4 linked regions of the Caenorhabditis elegans genome follow. The protein of the gene in region 1 interacts with the protein of each later gene in a pairwise test. Each region holds a gene or a part of one and is shown on either strand. Other genes may lie near its edges.

What was found.
Region 2: the proteins of umps-1 (region 1) and Y47G6A.5 interact in a two-hybrid assay, tested with the Caenorhabditis elegans proteins (one large-scale study listed by BioGRID).
Region 3: the proteins of umps-1 (region 1) and C53D6.6 interact in a two-hybrid assay, tested with the Caenorhabditis elegans proteins (one large-scale study listed by BioGRID).
Region 4: the proteins of umps-1 (region 1) and rps-15A interact in a two-hybrid assay, tested with the Caenorhabditis elegans proteins (one large-scale study listed by BioGRID).

What each region holds. Positions count from the first base shown.
Region 1 is NC_003281.10:10,355,333-10,359,433, reverse strand, and holds umps-1 (Orotidine 5'-phosphate decarboxylase), read left to right. Parts: upstream 1-1,785; 5' UTR 1,786-1,790; coding exon 1,791-1,958; intron 1,959-2,033; coding exon 2,034-2,483; intron 2,484-2,538; coding exon 2,539-3,362; intron 3,363-3,414; coding exon 3,415-3,466; 3' UTR 3,467-3,597; downstream 3,598-4,101. Other genes in the region: spp-1 (Saposin B-type domain-containing protein), read left to right, coding at 3,917-4,048, 4,098-4,101. UniProt on the Caenorhabditis elegans protein: Bifunctional enzyme which catalyzes the formation of UMP from orotate in the de novo pathway of pyrimidine biosynthesis. May also form UMP from uracil. Regulates the size of gut granules during embryonic development.
Region 2 is NC_003279.8:3,532,133-3,539,884, reverse strand, and holds Y47G6A.5 (Tyrosine-protein kinase), read right to left. Parts: upstream 6,001-7,752; 5' UTR 5,892-6,000; coding exon 5,771-5,891; intron 5,185-5,770; exon of another isoform or gene 5,136-5,184; intron 5,091-5,135; coding exon 4,926-5,090; intron 4,739-4,925; coding exon 4,616-4,738; intron 4,566-4,615; coding exon 4,457-4,565; intron 4,171-4,456; coding exon 3,953-4,170; intron 3,849-3,952; coding exon 3,720-3,848; intron 3,554-3,719; coding exon 3,396-3,553; intron 3,345-3,395; coding exon 3,253-3,344; intron 2,913-3,252; coding exon 2,693-2,912; intron 2,646-2,692; coding exon 2,413-2,645; intron 1,273-2,412; coding exon 984-1,272; 3' UTR 305-983; downstream 1-304. Other genes in the region: Poly(U)-binding-splicing factor rnp-6, read left to right, coding at 1-238.
Region 3 is NC_003282.8:9,027,150-9,033,338, reverse strand, and holds C53D6.6 (HAT C-terminal dimerization domain-containing protein), read left to right. Parts: upstream 1-1,683; 5' UTR 1,684-1,692; coding exon 1,693-1,822; intron 1,823-1,866; coding exon 1,867-2,897; intron 2,898-2,941; coding exon 2,942-3,121; intron 3,122-4,982; coding exon 4,983-5,225; intron 5,226-5,274; coding exon 5,275-5,538; 3' UTR 5,539-5,659; downstream 5,660-6,189.
Region 4 is NC_003281.10:1,948,777-1,951,936, forward strand, and holds rps-15A (Ribosomal Protein, Small subunit), read left to right. Parts: upstream 1-1,883; 5' UTR 1,884-1,899; coding exon 1,900-1,995; intron 1,996-2,044; exon of another isoform or gene 2,045-2,211; coding exon of another isoform or gene 2,212-2,220; intron 2,221-2,296; coding exon 2,297-2,593; 3' UTR 2,594-2,648; downstream 2,649-3,160. Other genes in the region: polh-1 (DNA polymerase eta), read right to left, coding at 194-369, 453-657, 948-1,107, 1,156-1,302, 1,354-1,481; F53A3.7 (DNL-type domain-containing protein), read left to right, coding at 2,751-2,894, 2,948-3,064, 3,137-3,160.

The sequences.
Region 1 (4,101 bases):
TAGGAATGTTCATACATCTATTTTTAAAAGTAAGCAAATTATATAAAAATATCTAAAGAAAACGGGAAAAGTTCAAATAGGCACAGTTTTAAGTATTTTCGTCTTATAAAAAATCCCTCTAAATATTTACGGCAAATCAGATATTCGGCAAATCGGCAAGCCGGCAATTTGTCGACAAAAAAATTTGCCGGAGCAATTGCCGCCCACCCCTGATTTGTAGTGCGATTAAACAAATTCAACAATATATTTTAATAGTTTTCAAGAAAAAATGTTTTTTTTTTAATTCAAAGTTAGGCAGGGGTCATGATATTGGGAAAATCGTGAGGCTGAATTTTTCTGCAATTTTCAAATTTCCAAAACTATGCACAATGAGCTTCTCGAGAGACTCCTTTCTCTCTCTCTCTTTTTTTCGCTTCGTTTTTTCTATTTTCTAGAAGGGACGCGCACTCACTCACGCTACACTCAATTTAGTTAAATTGCTCTAGAATGTGTTGCTGGAATGGGGAAAAGAGGAACAACGTCATCTCTCGAGAGCTCTCATAATTGGGTGAACGCATCACTGAACACACCACGACAACTTTGGCTGGGCAGGAAAATGAGTTTATGGGAGAAACGGGAAAGTGTTGGAAATGTTGTTTTTTGTAAAGATTGACTGAAAACAATTTTAAAAATTTAAAATGTTCCTGTGATTTTTTTAATTCAGAACTTCGAGCCTCCCGCAAAATTTTTTCGGAAATTTTAAACTGCTTGAATTTCCCGCCTGAATTATTTGAAAAAATAATTTTTCCGACAACGTTTTTTTTGATGAAAACTTAGAATTAAAATACTATAAATCCTGAGAATGCGTATTGCGCAGCATATTTTACGCGCAAAATATCTCGTAGCGAAAACTACAGTAATTCTTAAAATGACTACTGTAGCGCATGTGTCGATTTACGGGCTCAATTTTTGAAGTTATTTTTTTTCGAATAGTAACATCGAAATATCATTTTCATTCGTTTTTTCGTATTATTTTCCCTTTTCTCTTAAAGTTAATTTTAAAAATCGAACCCGTAAATCGACACAAGCGCTACAGTAGTCATTTAAAGATTACTGTAGTTTTCGCTAAGAGATATTTTGCGCGTCAGATATGCTGTTCGCGTTTGGGGAATATCGATCGTCACTAGTCAAAAATTTTAGAGGGGTATATAATGTTTATAATGTTTATATGACAATTTTTAAAATAATGCATCTATTTTTCATTGAGAAATTTTTATTAATTGTTTTTCTTATATTCATTTGAAACTATAACATCATATCTTTGATTAATCATTATTTAAATCTTAAAATTTCTCGAGCCCTATTTAAATAAAACTTAATTAAATTTATCGACAAGATCCCGCAGAAAAACTAAATTTGAAATTCCCTCTCATTGTGTTGCGTACAGCACACCAAATGTTACGCAACTTTCTCTGCGTCTCTCTCCATCGCATTGTCTCTCTTCTACCGTAACCTTCAAGTTTTCTCTTCAAAAAATAGTTTTTCAAATCCAATTTTCGTTCTTTTTCTGTTTTCCCGCTGTAAAACTAAGAAATCTGAACAAAATGCAATTTTATTTCTTTTCCCAAGCTTTTTCTTATCAATCAATCTCTTTGTTCTCTTTCTCCTACTCTTCTCCGCTTCAAAACTTGTTATCAAATCGTACTACTGCTTTCTGCACAAGTATATATTATCTCCCTCAGTCTTATCGTTATATTTTACATTCATCGCTACTATTTTCCATCAAAAAGTAATCGTACTATTCAGAGAAAATGAGCTCGCTCACCGACAAAACCCGAAATGGAGCCCTGAAGCGGAATCTGCTCCGCCAAATGCTCAAAGCGAGCGTCTTCAAATTCGGCGAGTTTCAGCTCAAGTCTGGGCAGATTTCACCGATTTATATCGATCTTCGCGAATGCTTTGGGCATCCGGGGCTTTTGGTGAGTTTTTTAAAGTTTAAAAAAAAAATAATAGCTTATTTTAATGATTTTTATTTAAAAGAAAACTATTTCCAGATGCTTATCTCAGAAGCGATATCGAAGCAGGTGGAGATTAGCGAGGTTCAGTACGCTGGAGTTCTTGGAATCCCATACGCGGCTCTTCCCTACGCATCAGTCGCCGCTGGAAACTATCTGAAGAAGCCGCTGCTCATCGTTCGCAAAGAGGCCAAGTCCTACGGCACGAAGAAGCTCATCGAGGGATTGTACCAGCCAAACGATCGTCTGATCCTCATCGAAGACGTCGTGACGACAGGTGGAAGCATCCTGGACGTGGTAAAAGTGCTTCACACAGAGAATTTGGTCGCCTCGGATGTATTTTGCATTCTGGATCGAGAACAAGGCGGGCGTCAGAAGCTCCAGGACGCGGGTGTCACGCTGCACAGCCTGCTCGACATGCAAACAGTTCTCACATTCTTGTACTCAACTGGAGCGATCGGTGACGAGCAGTGGCACGGAATTGTTCAGGTTAGTCAAATTATCTCGATTTTCTATTTAAAAATAAAATAATTGATTATTTCAGGCTCTCAACCTTCCGTACACCTCCCCAACAAAGCTGGAAATCAACAGCGAGCTCGAAAACCTGTCCAGTCTACCGTACGTGGAAAACGTGCGAACTCCGCTTGCGGAACGCGAATCCCTCACAGAATCTGCACTCATCAAGAAAATTCTTGGAATCATGCGCCGGAAGAAGTCGAATCTGTGTCTCGCTGTCGACTACACTACCGTCGAGCAGTGCCTTCAGATGATCGAGCTCGCTGGTCCATTTGTGCTGGCGATCAAGCTTCACGCCGACGCTATCACCGATTTCAACGAGGAATTCACGAGGAAGCTGACGACGATGGCAAATGATATGGACTTTATCATTTTCGAGGATCGGAAGTTTGGCGACACTGGAAACACGAACCTTCTTCAGCTCACTGGAGCCCAGAAAATCGCCAACTGGGCGGATGTTGTGACTGTTCATGCCGTACAAGGAAGTGACAGCATTGCAGGAGTCTTCAGGAAGCTCGCCAAAGATCCGACTTACAGGCTCAGTGGAGTTCTCCTCATCGCGCAGCTCAGCACCAAAGGATCTTTGACTGCGCTGGAAGGATACACCGAGACCGCCGTCAAGATTGCCAACGAGAATCGTGACGTGATTTCTGGATTCATCACTCAGACGAGAGTGTCTGCTTGCTCGGATCTTCTCAATTGGACGCCCGGTGTGAATCTCGACGCGAAATCCGACTCGGCCGGTCAGCAGTGGAGAGGTGTCGACGAGGCGATCGAAGTACAGCAGAACGACATCATCATCGTCGGAAGAGGCGTCACGTCGTCCAGTGAGCCCGTTCAGCAGCTCAAGAGGTTTGTTTTTTTTTTTTTAATTAAATTTTTAAATGTCAATTTTCTCTTTCAGATATCGACAAATCGCCTGGGATGCGCTCACGAGAAGCGACGATAGCATTTGAAAGTTGAAAAATCCGGAGAGCCTATTTGTAAAGAAGAAATGTGAATATTTATCTAATTACGTATTTATTTAACTTTGTTGATTTTGTTCAAGCTTCCCCAGAATTGTTGAAATAAGTAAATTGATTGCCTCCATCTTCCTCAAATTATCAAGAAATCACATGCCCACACCATTTACTTTACTGCTAACCTGATTAATCAATATTTTCTCCGTCAAGGCGAAAAGCTACTCCTCTAAGCGATCTTATCAGTTCGAAAAATCGGCATCTGATGTGTGAACGACCCGGTGTGTATTCTATAATGTCCTTTGATCTTTTCCTCCATGCTGAAAACATCAGAAACGATTCGATTCCTTATCAGTGCCGCCGCGAAGTTGATAAAAGACACGAGCATCACTGCTCCGGGTGCATTTTCGCTTCATTTCTCCAGTTTTTCATCTTAAAATCTACAGAATGACTCGCATTCTTCCGTGTCTTTTCCTTGTCTTGCTCGCCGCTGCTCCACTTCTAGCCAATCCAGCTAACCCACTCAATCTCAAGAAGCATCACGGTGTTTTCTGTGATGTCTGCAAGGCTCTCGTCGAGGTTTGTGCTCCAAATATCTCCAATTTTCCTCGTTATTCACATATTTCAGGGTG
Region 2 (7,752 bases), on another chromosome or scaffold:
CGATGAATTCCTTGAGGGCGAGATTCGTGAAGAATGTGGAAAATATGGAAATGTCATTGATGTGGTAATCGCGAATTTTGCATCCAGCGGACTTGTCAAGATTTTTGTGAAATACTCGGATTCGATGCAGGTGGATCGGGCAAAAGCGGCACTGGATGGACGATTTTTTGGTGGAAATACTGTCAAAGCGGAGGCATATGATCAGATTTTATTTGATCATGCCGATTATACTGGATAATTAATTTAATTTATTGTTTTTTTTTTTTTGGTTTTTTCCATTTGTATTCTCGAATTCCTCCATGTTTTTAATTCTATGAATCTCATACGTTTCATTTTGTCTTTGGTTTTTGTACAATTTAATATTACTCAGACGCGAAATTTTGCGATTTTCCCCCGGTGTCTGGTCTCGACACGAAACATTTTTTGATAAATGCAAAAATGTGTGCGCCTTAAAAGAGTACTGTAATTTTGAGCTGCCAAATTTTCATAGATTTTTCGATGTTTACATATTTATTCATTTATTTAAAAAAAACTCAAATTTTAACAAATCGAGGAAATAAATTATGAAAAATGCCGAATTTTCGCAATTTTTCAAATTTAGATTTTTTTTTCAATAAATAATTGTATTTTTTGCGAAATTTTCATAGATTTTTCGAAAAAAAACTATATTTATTTATTGAAAAACTTAACAAATCGTGAGAAAAATTCAGAAAAAATTTATTTTTTCAATATATAAATTTCTTTTAATCGAAAAATCGATAAAAGTTCCGTAGCAACAAAAGTTTGAAGTTACAGTACTCTCTAAAGGCGCACACCTATTCACATTTAACAAAAAATTGTCGTGTCAAGACCAGCTACCGTAGTTTTGGCGCCGAAATCGCGGAATTTTGCGTCCGAATGAAAGCAAAAAAAACACACACACACACAAAAACCAGTGAAAACTTTGCAAGTTTGCAAAAAAAAATTAGGGATAAATATGAGAATCAGTGACGAGATGAGGTGAAACGCTGTGATGAGAGACTTTCACAGTTGATCTCATCAAAATACTTGAACAATCGATCGAACGTCGGACGGCGCCGCGGATCCAGGTGGACACAAATTTTGAACGCATCCTCGTACACGTAATCCGGAACCAGTTCAGGACGTGGCAGCACATATCCACGTGACAGATGTTCAAGTGTTCCCTCGTAATCCCATCCTCGATATGGTGTTTTTCCAAGAGTTCCAATCTCCCAGAGAAGAATTCCGTACGACCAGACGTCGGTTTTTGTGCTAAAAAATTGAGAAAATTTTATGAAATTGATTTGCAAGCGCGCTCCAGCGGCGTATTAGGGTCTCGTTAGGTGTTGGCGGGAAAATCATGAATTTAAATGTTTCCTTTTTGCATTTTTTCCACCATTTTCAGACATTTTAGGGTTTTGGAACTTTTTCTGTTGTTCCCGCCAATACCTAACGAGACCCGGGCTACTGTACTTGTTAAATCAATAAAATCAGCATACCATTTCAAAGGGAGATAATGGTGATCATGAGTATGGGTCTTAACGCGAAAATATTTATTGACAAACCATTTCGAAATTGCGCCTTTAAAATAACAACTGACAGATTTTATGATTGTTTTCAAAAAAAGAAAAGCGCGATTTTTGCGCTAGAAATACGGTACCAGGTCTCGACACGACAAACTTTTGCTAATTGCAAAAAGGTGCGCGCCTTTAAAGATTACTGTAGTTTCAAACTTTTGTTGCTGCGGAGTTTTCAAATTTGCATCGATTTTACATAGTTTTTCTCACGATTTGTTGAAATCTGAGCTTTTTTTCAAAATATCATAAAATAAAGAAATGTTCATCGAAAACTATTTAAAAAAATGATAAAAATTTTGCAACGACGAAAGTTTGAAATTGCAGTAATCTTTAAAGGCGCACAGTTGTTTACTATTCACAAGAAATTTGCCGTGTCAAGACCAGTCACCGGATTTTTCGGCGCAAGAATATCTCATCTGGATAATACTACATGTTTAAGGAAAGAAAATTACGTTGTTGGGTCCTAAAACGAGCGAAACTTTTCGGCTACCGTAACCGAGGGTACGGTAAATTTCAACTGCAACTTGCTCTCGATATTTGACATTTAATTTGAACAATTCTTTAAAAAAAATGAAGAAATCGAAAGAAAACCCGCTGAGGTACGGTAGGTGAAAAGTTTGGTTCGTGTCAGGACCCAATTTGGCGACGAATTTCGGCGCGGATAGGTAATATAAATTTAAAAAATATTTCTCGCAAATACAGCATCGAAAATATCCTATTTTTAAATATAATTTTCAAATGGGAACCATTTTCGAGAAAAACTTGCAAAAACCAGGGACCGTGGCAGTACATCACATTTTACGCGCAAATTTTCAATAATAATTAGACAACTTACTTGAAAATCTGTTCATCAAAACACTCAGGCGCCATCCATTTCCACGGCAACATATTATCAGTTTTCATCACATAATTCTCATCTCCAACGTCTGTTTTTCGTGCCAAACCAAAATCCGCAACTTTCACAAGAGGCACTCCATTTGACGAAACTGTTCCAACAAGAACATTTCTTGCGGCCAAATCTCGATGAACAATCTTATTTGCCGATAGGTAATCCATACCGGAAGCCACCTGAAATTATACACAAATTTGCGCGTCAAATATGATGTTTTCCATACCTGCGCAGAGATACTCGCTCCAATCAAAACATTCTTTCTTCCGGTCTCTTCACTCATCAGGGGAATTGGTGGAAGAGTTTTTGTGAGCTTTTGTAGCCACGCTAATAAGGATCCGTTGGTCATAAATTCGGTGATAATTAGGTATGGTTTGTCGGTGTCACAGACTGCGAGTAGATGGATGACATTTTGATGAGAAAGTTTTGTCAGCGTTTTTGCTTCTCTGGAATTTTAGATTTCTGCGTCAAATATGGTGTATTATGGAGACGTGAAAAATTAGTCTTTTAAAGTTGATGTGCACGCTCCAACGCCAAATAAGGGTCTTGTTAGATATTGGCGGTAAAAAATTCAAACGCTTTAAATTATTATTTCGCAAATTTCATTCTTGTTTTTTTAAATTGATATTTTATATCAAAATTAGAGAAAACGTTTTTTCGACATAAAAATCATGAAAACAGTGGAAAAACATTAAAAAAAAACTACAAAAAATCTTTAATTGGAGCGCGATTGCACTTCATTTTCAAAAGTCGAATTTTTCGTATCCTTATAATATTCCAACTCACTCTAAAAACTGCGTATTTGCCAATTGTTCAGAGTGATCTGGTTTCAACGACTTCACAGCAACATCCACTCCCTTCCACTTCGCAAGGTACACCTAGAAATTATTTCAAACTTGCGCGTCAATCATGGTGTATCGAGAACTCACTTCTCCGAATTGTCCTCTTCCAATTTCTTTGACTCTTCTCACTTCACTTCTGTTGACATGAATCTTCTTCATTGCCATGTACTCGGTTTGCTCGGGCAGTGGTGGAGCAGCTTTTGTGAGCTTTGTGCAGATTTGAATTTCTCCAGGTACTTTTTCGCCTGGAAATTTGAATTGCAGTTCACTGATTTAAAAACAAAGTTTGATTGCCAGCAATTTTGCAAATAAATCTTGAAAATTTTGACTGCTTTCACTGATCTCTTAATGTATTAAAAATGCCGAAAACTTAAAAAACGTCAAATAAAGGGGTGTGGCCAGAAAACTTACAACTATAATGGTTTACCAATTGATGAAGTGATCCGAAATGAATAACCGCCGGTCTATGATTATCTCTAATTTCAAAGCCTTCTTGATTCGGTCGTCGGTAGATGATATAAGCTTGTGGTGACTCGTTATCTGAAAATTAATATTTCATCTGGCCGGGGACTTGCTGCGTGGCCGTGAAAATGGAAAACTCGGCCATGACCGAATGTTCTCTTCTGCGGCCCCCAACGACTCACGAGAACTTCTGACAACTAGCACAAATGTGTCGGTTTTCGAATTTTCCCGAATCAAAAAAGATCCGATTGGTAGTTGCGGTTGCATGACCCTCTGTTCTGCCAGAATTGATGATATATTTCCAGCGAACCATGGCTCTCGGTATTCGGCATAGACCACATGGGATTTTGGGACAAAACCTTTGAATTGTCGGGACTTACTTGCCACGTACCACCATTCTCTGGAAAAAAAATTTGGGTGAAAGTGAGGGATGGCCTAGAAAAATCGGTAAATCTCGGCCAGAGAGAGAGAGAGAGGTTTTTTGTGTGAAATTTTGAAAATTGCGCGTAGGATATGATGCATAGCGGTCGAACCGAACTGTTTTTTTTTAATTTTGAAAAAGTTGCGTTTGGTGTATTGAAGTCGACGAAACACATCGTATTTTACGCGCAATTTTTTTTTAATTTAAAAACTTGCGCGTAAGATATGGTGTATAACAGTTTTCATTTGAAATTCAAAAAACCTACCGGTTGCTCTGCTCAATAAGATAGAGTACATCTCCCTCCTCGACACTCATTTCTTTCGGAGTCTGTGCCAAGAAGCGGTTCTCCACAATGAGCATTTTCTCTTCAGGTTCTGAAAAAATTGTAATTGCGCGTCAAACATGGTGCATCATATAAGTTTACCTGAATGTGAGCACTTTGCTGAGCCATGATGTGAATGTGTTTTTGAAACTGGTCGAGGAGAAAATGAAGCTCCATTTGGAACACTTTTTGTAGAAGTTGCTGATGGATGCCGCGAAATGTTACCTGAAAATTAGTATTTTATTTTTATCTAGCTTTACGCCTACGTTGTGCCTACACGCCTTTTCAGGCCTAGGTAGGCAGGCGCACAGGCCTGAAGACGTATATACCTACCAAGGTAATATAATAGGTGGATGCACTCAGGCTGCCTCGAAGGCAGATAGGCAGGCATTTTTCATTAACTGTAACTTACCGGAATGATGTGGAATTGGCGGAGGTACCAAATTGGATTCTGATCTTCTTGGCGGAATCGGAGGACGAGGATCCGTACTGGAAACTGATTGTGTAGACGGACGAAGTGGTGGAGGTTTGGCTGGTACAGCGACTGATGGTGTGGATTCTGGCATCACAGGTCGTACTGAAAAAGTGTATAATATATTTAAAAATCATTTATATCTTGAACCTTCTTGAATGACGCGCCTGCCTTATGCCTACCTCCCTACCGCATCTTCAGAACCAATCGAAAAATCACAATTAGGCATATTCCTGATAAGAAATTTTTTGAGAAAAAGCAGAAACTACACGGGAATGTGATCAGTGCCAGTACAACGCGAAGAACTAGAAATGACGTGTCCGAGCAAATAAAAAATTCGTTTTCCGTTATGATAGAATGATCAAAAAGGTTAACGAGAACTGGAGAAAATGAATTTTTGAGCAATTTATTATTGAACATTTTTCTTAAATTTTTATATTATTAAAGTACTGTTTTACTGAAAAATCATTATGGAGTGAAAAGAGAAATTTACAAAATCAAAAAATATTAGCCTCGGCTACGGTAGTTGAAAAGTTTTGTTCGTGCCAGGACCCGAGGCAAATAAAAATAATTGGTGAGGAAAAATTGTTCAATAACTTTATGTGTATTTTTCTTTATTAAGAATAAAAAGCTGTTTCAAGAATTGCTAAAACGGTAAAATTTTTCAAAACATATTGAACCAACATACCATTTTGAAAAATTACCAAAAATAAAAGGAGTTTTCCAACTAATTGAATCGATTATATAGGAGTTAATAATAAAAATCAATAAAATTATAAACTCACATGCAAGTTCCTGGCTTGAAAACGAACCATCATCCAACAACACAGCCGATCGATATTCCCTATTATTATTTCGTTCATCTTTTTTATTCTTCTTTTCGTGATGTGAATGCTTGTGACCCATATCGATCAATCGAGAAGAAACTGACTGACTTTCCCAAAAAAAAAGAGAGAGAGAGAGAGAGCACACTCTGAAACTCCTCTCTCTCTTTCCATTTACACACACACACACTGTTTTCTGACCATATTTAACATAGGAAGAAGGCAGATAAGCTTCAGCGTGTGTGGCTGGTGCATGTTGACCGTCATTTAATTTTAGAGTTACTCATCACTTCGGATGATTATTCTATGCGATGACGTAGGAGATTGCGTGCTTTTGGCAGACTTTTGAAATCGTATGACTATTTGAAACAGTATTATTTCTTTAAATTGAAATACAAAAATTTTGTTCTGCTTATTTTACAAATATTATGAAAATTGGATTTTAAAATTGCTTTATTTTTTTGAAAACTAGAATTGGACTGAAATTTTTTTTAAATCAGAGTTTTCATAACTTGAAAAATTAACAATTTCAGTGAATTAACCACGAAAACTGCGTTTGGAACGTGCTAGATTATCTGAAAAATCGGAAATATTTCTAAGAAATTCAGTACGAAAATTTTAAAAGTCTGGATAAAATTATTTTTTCTTTAAAAAAAAACGATACGGACCGGTTTTTTAAAAGTTCCACCAAAAGTTGGTTATCTACTATGCTGGCTCAAATAATTAACTGGACAATACACTTAGCTCGATGTTGAGGTTACAACCATAAGTACCCTTTTCCAACCCATGTATATTTTCACAGTTGAAATTTTTTATAATTCAGAAAGTTAATCCCCTTTAAAATTGGGACATAGACAACGAAAAGAGTCTCGGTATCGAATTCAAAAACTTAAAACAAAACTGGTTCCTTCATTACACCCAATCGTTTCATCACTTACACTTTCAGCGAACAAACATTCGGTTTTGCAGCAGAAGCTTCTAATGATTTACCTAAATGATCGGCTCGATTTTATTTGAATACAGTGCAAAAATGGGAAAAGATAATCACAAGGGGATTGAGCCCTTTGTCAGAAAAATTCAAAAAATAAAAACAGCGAGAAAGATGTTTCATTAACATACGAAAAGCAATGTGATGTTCATTTTGGCGATATTTTGTTCCCAAATTCTGAAACCAAAAAAGTTATGCATAATAAATTTATCAATGCTAATTCCTGTTGAAAGATCATTGTGGCGTTTGCTAGTACTTGCTAGTACAGTATTTATCAAAAAGTAATAATTTGGTAAATGTAAGGTGAAGCAAACAGGCATGCATTCCTGGCATTTTTACAAATATCAATAACTTGATAAAAATTAACTGCGAGGGCACAGTTGGAACGGAAAATATGTCAATGCCTGGAACGGAACTGAAACAAAAACTTCAAATATTACTAGATTTCTAAAAGTGCACTGGAACTAGGGTGTCACATGTGGCAACTTATAACTTCCAATCATGTTCCACAATGCCTACCTCGCTCTGCCTACACGCCTGCCCTCAACCTATCAATTCTTATATGTATAGAAGCCAACAAATTGGGCACTCCAAAATGCACGAAAACTACCAAGAATCAAGATAAGTTTAAATTTAAATTTATCAGAGTAGATCTACCTGCCAAACGCGCCTAACTGCCTGCATGCCTACATACCTGCCTGCAAAAAAAAACTATACGCCTAATTTTGCTGCCGAAAGGATACAACTGTAATAACATGAGCAGTTTTGGAGCACTGTAAAATACAAAATACATACCTATCAGAAATAGGCAGGCACAAAATCCTGGCTGCCTATCATCACAAAATTGAAAAGGTGGGATATCGTTTAATCAGATTTTTAGATTAAGAACAAATTTCAGTAAGATTTTCCTAATATTTTCCCTAGTATTACTAATCAAATTGTATTAATTTAACTT
Region 3 (6,189 bases), on another chromosome or scaffold:
CTTAATGTCCAAAACTTAAGGCCAGCATATGCATTTTGAAGGAAGCAATTTTCTTTCCATGATACATTTCTCTGTGGCTTAAAATACTATAGATTATTATGGATGAGAAAAAATCTATTTAAAAACACCTTAACTTTCAATTTCATCCCTAATGTTCCTCCAATATGAAATGCTCTCAAACCAAATAAAGTTAAACATTTTACGCACTCTGGTTTTTTGTTCTCTTACTGATGCATTTCAGATGTAAAACGGAGATCAGTATATATAGTACTCATTAAAGGTACGAGACCATGCAGGTACTGTTATTTTTCGCAAAAAAATTTTCCTCAGTTGGTTTTTTTTCCGTTCAGCAAAAGTTGCAAAAAATAGTTTTCTTCTTCTTTCCAATTTTACTAGATATACTGAAATTTAAAATCTATCCGAATAAATGATTTTCTGGTTACTTTCCCCCCAACATTTAGTTCAGAAACCCAAAAAAAACGTATTTTCCGTCTTGCCGTTTTGCATTGAAAACAGAAAGAGAAACGCGTATTTTTTCGACACACTCAGACACATACACACAGACGCACACGAGAGATGTCAACAAATAACGAGTCGGAAAAAGAGAAAAAAAGAGGACGGCTGGAGAAGACCAATGCCTCGTCAGAACGAGAGAGAAGAGAAAAAGAGAAACAAAGGCACTGCATTTTACGACTCGCCTTTACACGACATTTCATCGACCAGAAATTTATTGGTTTTTTGCTCGATTTTTTGTAAGTTTATCGTAAAACCTAACTCGTAATACGTATAATAGATTTTGTAATAAAAATGCATTGCAAGGTTTATTTTAGTTGTAAAATTAAAATGATAAAATTTGTGCCCGTAAACTTTCAAAATAGTTCAAGACTTCACACCACTTGCCTTTGAATTTACGATTAAACAGATATTATCGTACTAGTTTTAGTTTCTATCGCTAATGTCTTTTTAAACGTCTTCATTTTTACGATGTAAATGTTTTCAAATTTTTTTTTTAATTGACGGCATTTTTAGTTAAAGTTATCTAATTTTTTCTCAGCTTATTATGTGTTTGACGGAATAGATAGAAATGATTTTTTGTAGAATCGAATTTTTTGTCTCAACAATTTTGGGCATGTTGAAAAACCGATGTCGTCAAAATTGTTTTGCTTTATTCGTAAATGATTTTGAAAAAAATGTCCATTTTCGAAATTACTTCCAATTATTAAATGTAGAGTAGCGCCAAAGTGTTCGAAATTAATTTCAGGACCCAAATATAGTAATGAAACTTCTCAGGAACTTTTTGAAATGTTTTATCCACTGCCTGAAGGTATTTACTATTTTGCAAGTCGACTAGATGTTTTTAAAATAATTTCAATTTTTTTACTTATATGTATTCAATTATTGTAGAGATATGATGCAAGAATTCTATAAGTTTAAAATATTTGACAGGAAATTTTTGAATGATCGAGGCAAAAAATTGGGGCATTTCCATTTATCGTTAAGACATATTTTGTGTTCGGATCAGCTCGAAAGTAAATTTTTCGAGTTTCTCATGTTATTTGCTGTTAGTTTGTGCATTTTCAGAGCTCCCACGTCAAAATGGCATGTTCTGGAGCGTTTTTGGTCTAACCATATGTTATGACGACCACGCATTTCAATTTATCCTTAAGACACACAATTTTTCAGATCAAAATAATGGTGAACTTAAAATATGACGATTATTTTACACCACTCGTTGATGGAACTCGATTGTGCAAGATTTTGATTGGTTCCGGTGATAACAAAACTGTTTGTGGACATCCAATAAAGAAACAAAAGAAATCAAGTGAGTCATTTTATATCTTCGATTATTAACTCTACGATTTCAAGGTACAAGTGGAATATTGTATCACTTAAGAGCAAATCATCCGGATACACTTCTTGAAATTGGTGGAAGTCTTGAAGTTCAGCCATTGAAAAAGCGAAAGTTAGGCGAGGAATGGCGAATTCCAGAGAATAAATCTGGAACTGAAGGAGATTTTATCAACTGGACAGCAGAAGATTTTGAGGAAAAACGAATCAATGATGCACTGATAAATATGATATGTCTTGATGCAATGCCACTCTCAACATTAGAACGTCCTGGAATACAACACTTTCTGAATGAAGTGTGTCCTACATTTGTGCCAAAAGGAAAAAATCAAATGAACGTAATGGTACATAGTCTTCATTTCAAATACGAGCAACGTCTGAGAGAAGAACTCCGAAATGTGGAATATGTTGGACTAGGATGCTATTCATGGAACAAAGACGATAGAAAAAATGAACAAGTTGTTGGAATCAGCTGTCATTTTATGAATTCTGATGGATCAATTGTTACAAGGTTTCTGGATGCTATACATATTTCTGATCCTCATGAAGATCCTGAATTGGAGATTGAAAATGCAATCAAATCCATTACGGATTATTATTCAATCGGAAACAAAGTTGTGGCAATGATTAAAGATGGAGTCTCAAACTTGAAGCTTTCTGCTCAATTGCTAGAATTTGATATATACGATTGTACATGGAATAGTCTCTCACTTGCCTCTATTTCAGGAATTAACACAATTCCAGGAGGAACTGAACTTATTGAAAAATGCAAGAAAATCGTTCAAAAAATCAACGAATCGGCAGTATATGAAACGAGTTTAATTGGAGAATATATGACCATCGATTCAGCTGATCTTGTCAAATCCGGCAAGTTGAATTGGATTACTGTCGTTAGTATGTTTGAGCAGTTCACTAAGTTGAAAGGACTACTCGATACATTTTTGATGAATGACATGGAAGGCCTGATGCTCTATCAACAAGATTACGATCTTATGGAGATTATCCTGAGAACACTGTCTCCCTTGAAAACTGCCGTCGATTTTGGAAAAGTTAGTTTATGATTAAAATATATCCTTTCAAATTGATGTTACAGCAACACACATTCCGGATTTCTGCAATAATTTCCTTAATTTCTGCATTGATTTCAAAGTACTCGGCAGAACACTCATATGATATGTGCAAGGCTATCAAATTGACACTTGAAGAAGAATTGAAAAGATATCTCCAAATTCCGACACTTTTGTTTGCAACTGTTATCGATCCAAGAGTAAAGGTTAGTTTTGTTTAAAACTATTTAACATGCAGGTTGAGGTCCTTGCCAAAATTTCAAAAAATTTTAATACAGTGCGTCCAACTTCTATAGCACCCCCCTCCAATTCGGCCGTTTGGAGCTTTTCAAAATATTTTTTTTGGAAAAGTGTTAGTGCAGTTCGATAGCAAATGTTGAAAAACCTATGCTCCCCAATTTTTATCATGATATCTCAAAAATCACGGAAATTAGGTCAAAATATCTGAAAAATGGCCGTCCAACTTCTATAGCACCCCATCTGATTTTTGACAAATTTCTGTAAATTCGGGGGTTTTCTTCGTAGTTAATGAATTTATTTTGTAAATCACACCAAAATAATCAGGTGGTTTCACTTTCACATTTAAAAAATAAATATAACCCTTGAAAACACGTGGAATGCCTGGGATTGTCCTGGAACATACTTATTTGCTTCAGAGGCCATATCTCGGCTCCCAATGATTTTCGCAGCACCAAAATTGATCAAAATGTTCTTCTCCGTCTATTCATTACTATGTAATTAGTTGTAGAAAGCATTTATTCATATGAACCAAATGGTAAAGGGAGCAACTTCAGTGGTTTTTAAAAGGTTCGTTTTAACCATGAAAACGAGCGTTCGCAGGCGCAGAGCTGAAGGTTTTGACTTTGTATGGTACAGAATTTCAGCTCATATGATTTAAATATCTTTGAAGCTTCGATTTTGATTAGAAGTCTTTGAAATTTTATTTGGACGAGTTCACGAGACCGCTCAAAAAAGAGGACAAAGGCAAAGCGAGGCCGCAAGTCTTTTTTTCAAGCTAACATGCGAAAATTTTAGACAGAAAAGTAAGATATACCTTTCCGAATGACGATTTTGCTAGTTGTATTTATAACTCAAGTTAAATTTAGCGAATTTGCTCATTGAATCTTTTTTTGGTCAAGTAATGCAAAAGCTACCAGACAAAACATTGAACCTGCGATTGTAGATGTCTGGCATCTGATTTACCCATGGATTTCCACGGATTTGTTGTTCATGTAAAATAATTTTTAATTTTACCTATAATGTAGTAATTTTTAGTCAAAAATGTATACCCAACCATTATCTCTGCGCCTCCGAACGCTTGTTTTCATGGTTAAAACGAACCTTTTAAAAACCACTGAAGTTGCTCCCTTTACCATTTGGTTCATATGAATAAATGCTTTCTACAACTAATTACATAGTAATGAATAGACGGAGAAGAACATTTTGATCAATTTTGGTGCTGCGAAAATCATTGGGAGCCGAGATATGGCCTCTGAAGCAAATAAGTATGTTCCAGGACAATCCCAGGCATTCCACGTGTTTCCAAGGGTTATATTTATTTTTTAAATGTGAAAGTGAAACCACCTGATTATTTTGGTGTGATTTACAAAATAAATTCATTAACTACGAAGAAAACCCCGAATTTACAGAAATTTGTCAAAAATCAGAGGGGGTGCTATAGAAGTTGGACGGCCATTTTTCAGATATTTTGACCTAATTTCCGTGATTTTTGAGATATCATGATAAAAATTGGGGAGCAAAGGTTTTTCAACATTTGCTATCGAACTGCACTAACACTTTTCCAAAAAATATTTTGAAAAGCTCCAAACGGCCGAATTGGAGGGGGGTGCTATAGAAGTTGGACGCACTGTAGATAGAAGTGGCTTCAAACAGTAAAAACATGTAATTATTTAATTTTAATTTAATCACCAGACACGAAATTTGCCAATATACCAAAACTTTTTTTTAGAGAGTTTCAAAATACAGTTTTAAAAGTATCTACTTTTTAAAAGTAATGTTGAAACTAAAAACTGCACATTTTGTTGTTTATAAAAAATTATTTTGCAGTTATTATTACTGCCTGCGACAGCAAAGGAAATTGTGCAGAAGAAACTTGAAAAAATTGCACAAAATATAAGGAATGCAGAAGACGTAAAAGATGTTGCAATTACTCACAACCAGCATTGTAAAACTGATGTTCAAAGCAATTATGATCTATTCGCAGAGTTGTTCAAAAAATTACACGGAGAAAATTATCAGAATTCTTGTAAAGAGGGAGAGATCGTGAGCCCACAAGCAATGGCTAAGACAGTATGTTTCTTTCAGTGAATATTTTCGAACATTAATTGATATTATTCAGGAGCTAGAACGATGGATTTCGGAGCCAAACATTGCATTTGAGGAGCCTATAGTGTTTTGGCAAAAAGCAGAAAATCGAACTAGATATCCTCTTTTATTCCAACTCTCTTCAATTGTATTATGCCTACCGGGTGCTTTGTTGAATACTGAAAATCTTACTTCCGCTAAGAATCTACTTTTCGAGCATCAAATTGGCTGTGAAGATCAAACTAATCAGAAAATATTATTCCTTCATCAGAACATGAAATTAATTGGTATTCTATGATAATTTATCTAAAAGCTTGTTTTCATTCTGAAATGCATGCTTCAATGATTGTATAATTTCCATATTGAATTTGAAATTAATATTTACTTTCTTTAAAATGACAAAAATAAACTATGCATTTTTATTTTCCAAATGAAATGAATACAACTAATTAATACAATTTTGAATGGTTTTACATACATTTTAATATTTTGTCCAAATAATTTAATCGGTCATTCGATTTGTATGAATCTTCTTAACAATCTTCTGGGTGTGATTATCATATCCTTTCAATTTGTCATCTGATGCCTCAATATACTTCTTGATGCGATTTATTCGCTCCTGCCATTGTTTTTTCAATTCGTCACTAGTGGCTTTGTCAAGTTTTGGATCTTTCAGTTTCTGCTCGATTTCTAATTTTTCAGTCCGCTGTCGGAAGAATTTGTTCAACTCCTTCTCATATTCGTCACCTTTCTTTTCTTCTTGTTTTTCAAATGTTTCTTTCTGAAATATGACATCTATTCTCCCTTATGTCCACTAATTCATTTTTGTGCTAAAAATATAAAAAACACAAACCTCAACAGATTTCAGCTCACAGAGAAGTCGGAATTTCTCTTCGAAGTCGTTCTTCACTTCAACAGAAACCATTTTGTTTTTATAGTTTGGCTGTAA
Region 4 (3,160 bases), 8.4 Mb from region 1:
ATCTCAAAATTTCTTTTTTTTTTGCCAGAAAAAATTGATTTTTTTTTGAGTATTTCCAAATTTCTAGGTTCAATGAAAAATATTTAAAAATTGTATAAAAACGCCTAAAATTGCAGATTTCAGACATTTCAGATAATTTTTCGATGAAAATTCTGAAAATAACTTGGAATTTTGAATATTTTCGCTTCCGTACAGTGATATTAAGCATTTCTTGAATGCGATTTCCCATTTTTCCGCCAAATCCTCGAACATCTCCGATTGGCGTAAGCCGGAGAATTTCTCGAACATAGAACCACGGAATTAACGTTTGTTGGCGTGGTTTATGCCGGGCGCACACCAATTTCGCCATCATTTTGTTGTTTCCGACGCCTGAAAATGGAAAATTGCGATTTTTGGGCGAATTTTTCCCCCCAAAAAATGAATTTTTCTGGATTTTCCGGCAAAATCCATACCCGCCGAGCAAAAAAACTGGGTTTCCTCGTGAATTTGTTGCCGAATTTGCTCTACAGTGACCGCGGCAATCAGTAAAAGCAGGTTTTCCGTGCAATTTCTCGCATTTTCAATATATTCCAGCAGCACATCTTCTCGTAGGTGCTCATTTTCTTTCACATCTTCTCCGGTAGCGAGGTGTGTGGTTGGGAGGTAGGTAATAGCAGCCTGAAATGCGAAAATTAGGCAATTTTTAGCGAAAAAATCATGGATTTTGCTTGAAAATTCATTAACAAACGGCAAAAAACCTGTGGACCTAGTGCCGCCCGGCGCGAGCGGTCGCGTCGCGGTTGGCACGTTTTTTAGAGGTAATTTGAAATTCTTGAATTTTATTAATTGAATTTAGCGGAAAATCAGGTTTTTCGCGTTTTTTTTCTTGAAAAAACTGCTAATTCTGCAAAAAGATGCTGAAATAGGGGGGATTTTTCTCATTTTTCAACTTTTCAAGCTAGATTTACCTGCAAAAACTCCTCCAATCCCTCGTTTTCTCTCAATTCTTGCAATTTTTGATTAGTATACGCGGATAAATCAAGAAAAGCCTCATCGACAGACGCTTTTTCGATTATAATTTGCGAGTCGTAATTGTTCAGCACCCGGAAGACTTCTGCGCTAGCGTCGCTGAAAAAATAGCAATTTTTGGGACTTTTTCAATATAAGAATTCCAACCGATATTTCTGAATATCAGCTTTATCTACATATTCTCCAATCGGAACGTGACATATTGATATTTGAGGGCATTTTAACTTCGCTTCGGCCACCGTCATCCCTCGTTTCACTCCGAACGGGCGGGCTTCATAGCTTACAGCCAAAATTCTGGAAATTTCGGGCTTTTTTTGGAGAATTTCAGATTAAAATTCAGCTTACCCACCCTCGATACCCTGCCTGGAGTGCTGCACGACGATCACCGGCTGTCCCCAAAGCGATGGATTGTCCCGTTGTTCGACTTGTGCGTAGAAACAGTCCATATCGATGAGGCTGATCACTCTTTTCATGTTTTATGTGTCTGAAAATATTCAAAAACTATGAAAAGTTGAAAAAAAAAAGAAAAAAAGCCGGAAATTGCGAAAAAACGAATTTTTAAAACAAAAAAAAACCAAAATCAATGTTTGAAACCCCGCCTAAAGTGCACTGCAATCGCGCTCCACTAAGACGATTTGGCTGCTTGGCTGAGTATTCAACGTTAATGCATAGGCGGTGGAAAGGCGTAGGCCAACGAAGTTTTTCACATACTTTTCTCGAATTTCCGTGATTTTTAGGTGATTTTCTCCATTTTTTGTGGTTTTAAGCATTTTCCAGTAGTTTTGATGCGAAATACCTACAAATATTCATCGAAATGTGTCTGTTTTGCTTCGCGTTCTCATAATTTTTGTAAAAATGAATTCCCGAATTTTCAGGTAAAAACAAGCAGACATGGTTCGCATGAACGTCCTCGCCGATGCGCTCAACGCCATCAACAACGCCGAGAAGCGCGGAAAGCGTCAGGTTCTCATCCGTCCAGCCTCCAAGGTAAATTCGCGTCGTTCTTCGAGAATTCTCAATGCATTTTTGTTAATAGATGATGATGCTGGCAGCCTCGGTCGCAAAAAATGACCAAGGCTCTCCGTGAATTTAGAATTTAGTGAAAGAAACTCGGTTTTATTTCCAAACATAACTTTCGGTTCTAATTAAACGGAGACACCCTTGGTTAGATTCTCTCAATCTGGAGATCTTCCTGGGATATGAATGTTGAAGGTAACCAGCTTAACATCTACTTTCCGTATTTCTAGTTTTCCACCTGTCCCTTCCCATCGCAACAATAATTTTCCAGGTCATCGTCCGCTTCTTGACCGTCATGATGAAGCACGGATACATCGGAGAGTTCGAGATCGTCGACGACCACCGCGCCGGAAAGATCGTCGTCAACCTCACCGGACGTCTCAACAAGGCCTCCGTCATCTCCCCACGTCTCAACATCCGTCTAAACGATTTGGAGAAGTACACCAACACCCTCCTCCCATCCCGTCAGTTCGGATATCTCATCCTTACCACCTCCGCCGGAATCATGGATCACGAGGAGGCCAGAAGAAAGCATTTGGGAGGAAAGATTCTCGGATTCTTCTTCTAAATCCAAACCCTAATTTTTTGTTTGTTATTATTACAAATAAATTGTTGTTACAACTACAACCGAGTCGTGTGTTCAGTTCGGCATCCAACTTTTCAGGGTTTCTAAATATCTTTTAAAACCTTTGGGTTTCGTTTTCGGGGACCACGAATTTTTCAGAATGCTCCGCTCAGCAGTTTCAGCTCTCTATAGAGCATCGAGAAGCTTCTCCGAGACAGTTCCCAGACTTTCAGCCACTCCACTGGGGAAGCAAGAGCCCCAGTTGTCCCTGTCATACACCTGCAAAGTGTGCAACTCCCGGGAGGTTTGAGCCAAGAAAGCTAGAAAACTGGATTTGAAATTCCTAATAATTTCAAGGGCCCAAAAACATTTGCCAAGTCATCATACGAGAAGGGAGTTGTCATTGTCACGTGCTCCGGCTGTCACAACCATCACATCATCGCTGACAATATCGGATGGTTCGAGGACTTTAAAGTGAGCATTTTTGCTCTTGAAAACGGAGCATCGTTGACGCGTGTTGTTTAGCGTAAATCCAATTTTTTCCAGGGAAAAAACATCGAGGATCATCTG